Bombyx mori: one gene and its partner. The protein of the gene in region 2 interacts with the protein of the main gene of each other region in a pairwise test. Links are inferred from orthologs where the notes say so. Each region holds a gene or a part of one and is shown on either strand. Other genes may lie near its edges.

Region 1 (4,225 bases), on a different chromosome or scaffold from region 2:
AACCAAATTTTTACCAACAAATTTAAAAAATATTGTTATAACTACATAGACAACCCTACAAACCTGTACCTATTTATACTTAGGTCGTTTCCATTTCACGTATTCTCATCCCAATTGACCCCTTTTTCGTTGTTATTTGTACCTGAGACGTCCCCAATATCCCCAAAAACAACAGATTTTTACATGTATTTTTATTTAATCAAATACATTAAAACCAATAACAACTGAGACTTACCTTTAATATATATGCTGGTTCAAACACTAAATAACGTTTATAAATCATAGTCGTCTTCTATTATTATCAAATAAATAAAAGAGAGCAAAGTTTCTAGCACTAAAATAATTACCACCACAGGAAGTTAATTTGAAACGCGATTTTTTATAAGTTAGCAGCTATTATCATGCATATTCAGAGTTGTTTTGTGAACTTTCAACATTCTACTATTAAACTACAAAAAATGGAAGATTTTGCAACGAATATAAAACTTATATTGAGCGTCGAAAGATTTTCCCGGTTTTTTCCCGATTCGCCTTTCAATCCCTAATCGCCCCATTTTACCGGTACCTATTCAAGCAGCCGAATACTGTAGTGGGTTGTATTTTGTATTAACTAAATCCTACTGAAATAAATTAGTGTTTTAGCCTCTATGGTTCCTTTTTTTAAAGGAATTCTATGACCTGGTAACTAAGACCTTTCAGTCATTTGTTATTTTAATTTAGATTCTTATTTTTACGAAAATTAATTTGAGACATTAATCAACTGGGATGAAATGAAATGAGATGAGATAATATGGGATGACATATAATCTCAGTAAAATAGTGGTCATTTACTGAGACTTTTTCAGTGATCTTTTTGGAGGATCCTGAGAAGTTACGTTCAGCGGCTTTGTTTCATTTTCCCACATTTGTGCACTTTTACAAATATCAAACAGTTAATAAACCACCGTTATTACACATTAAACCTGAAGAAACACTAAATAGACAAAATAAAACAAATCAACGGTGGTTTATTATCTATTTAGTATCTGCGAAAGTGCACAAATGTGGGAAAATGAAACAAAGTCGCTGGGCGTAACTTCTCGGGATCCTCCAAAAAGCCTACTGAAAAAATTTCAGTAAATGACCACCATTTTACTGAGATTATATTTCATCCCATATCATCTCTTATCACTTCATTTCATCCCAGTTGATTAATGTCTCAAATTAATCATCTTCATTTCATTCCATATTATCATTTTTCATAAAAATAAGAATATAAATTAATATAAGACATGACTTAAAGGTCTTAGTTACCAGGTCATAAAATCCCTCAAAAAAAACCAATTGTCAACACAGAAACTCGCTAACATTTTCAGCACACAAAAAGTTCGTTCTATCTACTTCTTTTTACCCAAAGATTGCTAAAGTTAGAATGAAATAGATATACTTTTGTTAAATTGCAGGAACCTGATAAGGTAATTGTGATTGCTTTGGATATCATCGTCTCTGAAATGCAGTTCGTATTATTTGCAATGTGATAGGTCCAATATTGTCCAAGTTGAGAAATCTTCTCGTCAAAAATACAAAAGTTCGAGTACATACCTACATGTGTACGCCTGACGAAGATCGTGTTACATCAGAAGAATTTGAATATTATTTCTATTCATTCTCAAAATCTACTCAAACACCAACTGGAATGGAGTTTTAAATGACAAATCAACTTGCCAAGATGTCGGTGATACTCCTCTATGAATTTGACAAGGAGAAGATGTGTATGTTGGTATAAAACAGAAATTGGACGAGCTTAAAAATCCTTTGAATGTGTAAATAACCTAGGTAGATCTACGTCATGAATAAAGTAGCGGATAACAACGTTCAGAATATAAAGTGTAGTCAAATGAACACGAAAAATAAAAGTAAAAAGACCAAAGATCTTTCTCAAGCTGATGAACTTTGTATAAAGAGTCAAGAACATTTGAATGAGACTTTAGCTAATACTCTACACATTAATAATATCAATAGTAACCTAACCAATGGAACGAGCGACCATTCGAACGGCAGTTCCGAAGTTTTAAGTGAGAAAGCAGATGGACAAGGTGAAACAGTGAACAAGGTCACGAACGATGTAAATAGTGTACAGCATAATGACACATCAAATAATTTTGAAGGCAAAAAGACAACCATGCCTTCAATAAACAGGTGTTTGTTAGATATGGCCTTAGAGAAGCTTGAGATAAACACCAACAATGAAGATCTATTGCCTCGTGATGACGTTGATATTGTCTCTTATGAATCTGAGTTACAAATGCCTGAAATAATGAGACTTATACAGAAGGATTTATCTGAACCATATTCTATATACACCTATAGATATTTTATTCATAATTGGCCTAAACTTTGCTTTCTGGCAAGACATGAAGGGAAGTGTATTGGTGCCATTGTATGTAAGTTAGACATTCATCGAAATGCAGTAAAAAGGGGCTACATTGCAATGTTGGCTGTTGATGAGAAATATAGGAAGCGAAAGATTGGCTCAAGATTAGTGCGGAAAGCAATTCAGGTTTGTAAAATGAAAATTATCATAAACTTGGCCATATCACTAAATCATATTTACCTAAATATGGCATGTACTAAAGGCTCTACTTCTAGAAGAAAAGTTATTTTAAACAAATATTTTACTTCCCTTAAAATACCTATAGGTAATGTGTAGGATAAGTGTGGTAAATGGAAAACCCATTGTTGGGGGTCAGTGGTAGACAGATCGGTTTGCATATTTATGGTAAAAGAGGATGTCTTTGTCATATCACAATTCCAAAGAGTATCCTTTGCCACTTTCTTATAGTATTGGGATCCTTGGGGTCAATATTTCGAGCAGTGTTCAGCATCAATGTTGGGAATGTAGACAACAACAGAGTGAATTAGTACAGAATGCCTAGACAAAGACCAGTAAAGCTTTAAAAAGTGCATGTCTTGCTTTATGTGGTGCTGTTCCCATCTCTTGTTGAGGACACCAAAATGTTTGCTACTTCCATTTAACTCTATAATAAAGGGGTACCTAATTTGAGTTGTTAAAAATCCTATTCTCATTGATTGTTTGGAAATGTGTATTTTACCATATTATGTTCCAAGGGGAGTGCTCTCAGGAATTGTTTAAGAATTGATTTAGAGACACAACTTAACTTAAAAAATTTGTACATTTTAAATATACATGTTTTTTTTTCAGGCGATGATAAATGACACTGCTGATGAAGTAGTCTTAGAAACAGAAATCACAAACAAACCAGCACTGAAGTTATATGAAAACTTGGGTTTCGTAAGGGATAAACGCCTATTTCGATATTATCTTAATGGTGTTGATGCATTGCGGTTGAAGTTGTGGCTAAGGTGAAATAAGTAGCTAACCGATGAGATTTCTCAATTTTGTGTTTAAATAACTTGCAATATGCAGTATTGAGTATATACATAAAATACTACTGTTTATATTCTTATCTATTGTGCAACATATTGCCATCTATGTGGATCTAGCCAAATGTAGTGTTTATTTCTCATTTTAATTCAAAATCATGTGATACATTGTATGTAATTTATTATAATTTTTTTTCTCAAATACTGTTTAATGATAAAATCTATTGTAACAAAAATAATGAAAACAATCGAAAATTTAAAAACACAAATTGAAAAATTTTTTTAGTCTCTAATTTTGTTTATGATTTCCCTCTATTGATGTTATTTTTTTCAAGTTTAAAGATGAATCTTAGATTTCTAAAAAATTCTGTAATAAAACAGATCGATTCAAAACACAATTAAAAAGTTTTAAATGATGTCTTTTTTATCTATACCTTATCAACAAGCTTAAAAAACATAGGTACTCCAATTTGAAAATGTATTTTTTTTGGACTGGGATAGGTAGTAAAACCAATAGAATATTTATTGGTTTTATTTGCTAGTAATAAAATGGTATCCAGCAGCTATAAGAATTTAGAATTCAAATGTTGCCGTATTTGTAGAAGCTCCATCATAAATAAATGTATTATTTACAGGTTTATATTGCTTGGTTATAATTTTAATGGCTTCATGTGCAACACATCCACCTAAAAAGGCAGACACACTATGTATCTCGGCTCCCCCATAGCGACACATTTCGTGGATATGATCATCTTTAGGAAATGGAGAACAAGATATATCACCTAAAAGTTTATTTACACAAGTTTTTAGCTTAGCAATGTCACCTTCTGGTTCCCAATCA
Region 2 (2,807 bases):
GAGATATGAGCGAACAAAGACAGAAAACACAGACAGAAAATTATTCCCAAATCCCAAAAGAGCGGTTTATTTTCTATTCCTACTCCTTAGTTACCCTTTTTCTATTTTTAAGCGACTTCAAAAAGAAGTAACGCTGAACCTTGTTTTTGAGTAAAAATATTAAATATTTTTCTTTTTTATAATGAATGCACATAAGGAGATTAGAGGTAACGAAACTCTCTTTTATTGGTGACAATTTGAAAAAATGTCCAACTGCAAGTTAATTGCAACATAAAAAATCCACCAAAACAGCGCTATTAATAATAAGTCGTATGATATGAATATCGCAGATGTAAACGGAGTGTGTAGTGATGAATTTCAAAAATAACAGCCAAGAGAAGCTAAAATAGCCCCTCAAGGCTACCAGTGCTTAGGTTAAAAATATATTAACTTTTGGCGCTAAATTCGATATTACACCACTTGCTACGGGGGCGCCCTCAGCCTATTAATGGTTACTTTTCGACAGGCGCTTCTTAAGCACAAAGGTTACTCCTTAGTAATAGCCTCCGTAAATACACTACAGAACTTAGGATAATGTTGCCATAAATTAATTTTCTTATCTAGGGATGCCAAACTGCACAGACTACATAAAAATACACAGATCACGTAACTTTATTTATTTATTCATATATACAATAATATCAAACTAATTTGATAATAGGAAAGTGTCTATGTACAGAGAAATCAAACTCGGGCGATGTAGTTGTGTCGGCTTTGTGTCCTCCCGCTAATAGTTTTAAAACGACAAAATTTGTTTTGGCAACTTTGAGCAGATCTTGCACCTGAAAATAAATTTATTTATTTAATAATTACATTACTCTGTGGCCAGTTTACGCATATATATTTTTCAATGAACTACCCTCCATGTAGTTTCACGAGAGCTATTTCATATCGTTCTTCAAACTAGATTAAATAAGTCAATATAAAAATAGATAAATAGATGGATATGAGAAATTTCATTAAAATTCATTCAGTCACTTCTGTAATTTAGTAAGCTCTAAGAAACAACAAAAGATACAAATTTCCACATTTAATGTAGATTATATAATTTTACAGTACAGATTACTGCCACCCAATTGTTCGTTTGTTGATATATTAGGTGTTTTGGTATTGCTGGTCTAATTTACTTGAAACTTGATATTTATCATATACATATCAGGAAAGGTTTTCGTCATAGTACCACAAAAAGGTGGTGAGCTAATGCACTTTTAATAAAACAGTGTATTTCGTACATTCAACGATGGTCAGTTTAGTAGGATGTTATTATATTTAGATTATAATACCATAGTATATTTCAGATATCTTCCTAAAATCTCAAATTCGACTTTTGATTATTCAGACTTTCATTACTTTGCCTATATGTCACTTTACTGGTGGTAGGACCTTTGTGAGTCCGCACGGGTAGGTACCACCACGCCGCCTATTTCTGCCGTGAAGCAGTAATGCGTTTCGGTTTGAAGGGTGGGGCAGCCGTTGTAACTATACTGAGACCTTAGAACTTATATCTCAAGATGGGTGGCGCATTTACGTCGTAGATGTCTATGGGCTCCAGTAACCACTTAACACCAGGTGGGCTGTGAGTTCGTCCAACCATCCAAGCAATAAAAAAAAATAAAAAAAGTAGGAAGTTTCACGTAACATAGGATCTAGTAATTAGCTTTATTGTTGTTTTTTTTTTTTAAACGAATCCTACAGAACCATTTCGATTACTGTATTAATAAAAAAATCTTACCTCTTGATCGGGAACGGTTATAGTTTCCAATAAGGAACGAGCTTGTTGAAAATGTTTGTAGCCACCGAGATACAGAATCACAGGGTTCTCGTACCTGCAATGTAACAAAACATATTATATCGAGGTGTGTATACGCGACATTTATCTTTGTAATTTAGGGTGCGTCTATATTTCAATTAAGTTCCATTTAAATGGCTAATAAAGTTTTTTTGTTACGTTATCTTTTCCAACTTCTAAACTTTAAATGACTCTCTTGTAAAATAGGAAAAATGTCATTTAAACAAAACCATCTTTTACGCCTCGATATTTTTTTTTCCATCTGTACTGTACAATCGTGAACATTTGTTAAGTACGTATTCCATTAGAAAAATTGGTACCTGCCGGCGGGATTCGAACACCGTTGCATCGCTACATACGAATGCACCGAACGTCTTATCCTTTAGGCCACGACGACTTCCATGTTCTAACATGATGGAGCGTAAATAATGCTAATAAAAAATTTTAAAAATATGATTTTTTTTTTAAATCTGTATCGATTTTTTTCCCGTCCCATCATGATAGCTGTCATTACTAACTTTAACTCCTAACACCCAGCATACACAGGTCGACGACCCGACGATCGCGCGAGCGTTACTCGAAAATCGACTCAATCGACTTGTGTCTTAAAGCTGAAAACTCACTGCAGCGGCTGCGTCATCTCGCAGAACTCGTGGTAGTGGACTTGGGGCGGACTCAGGCCGGAGAGCGGCGCGAACCGGTGCTTGTACCGGACCGCTTCGTTGTCGAACTCGGACTGCGGCTGACGGATCTTCCCTTGCAGCTTGAAAGCGACTAACGCCTGCGGAAACAATCAAATTTATAGGGGGGTGACACTGAAAATGGTTAGAAAATCAAAAACTGACCAAACTAGAAAGTTATTCTCAATTTGATAGACAGACACAGTAACAGACTTTAACAATAAACTAAAGAGCATTTATGCGTGTGTGTGTGTTTATGTCAAATATATGGTAGTGTGTGTAATGTTTTTTTTTATTGA

What was found.
Region 1: the proteins of N-alpha-acetyltransferase 35, NatC auxiliary subunit (region 2) and N-alpha-acetyltransferase 30 interact in a two-hybrid assay, tested with the Drosophila melanogaster proteins (2 studies listed by BioGRID). The link is inferred for Bombyx mori from reciprocal best matches to the Drosophila melanogaster genes Naa35 and Naa30A.

The regions. Positions count from the first base shown.
Region 1 is NC_085124.1:7,689,613-7,693,837, forward strand, and holds N-alpha-acetyltransferase 30, read left to right. Parts: upstream 1-1,338; 5' UTR 1,339-1,365; exon of another isoform or gene 1,366-1,442; 5' UTR 1,443-1,828; coding exon 1,829-2,539; intron 2,540-3,202; coding exon 3,203-3,367; 3' UTR 3,368-3,800; downstream 3,801-4,225. Other genes in the region: NEDD8-activating enzyme E1 regulatory subunit, read right to left, coding at 3,958-4,225.
Region 2 is NC_085111.1:6,439,028-6,441,834, reverse strand, and holds the end of N-alpha-acetyltransferase 35, NatC auxiliary subunit, read right to left. Parts: intron 2,610-2,807; coding exon 2,452-2,609; intron 1,866-2,451; coding exon 1,772-1,865; intron 822-1,771; coding exon 681-821; 3' UTR 642-680; downstream 1-641. UniProt on the Drosophila melanogaster protein: Auxillary component of the N-terminal acetyltransferase C (NatC) complex which catalyzes acetylation of N-terminal methionine residues.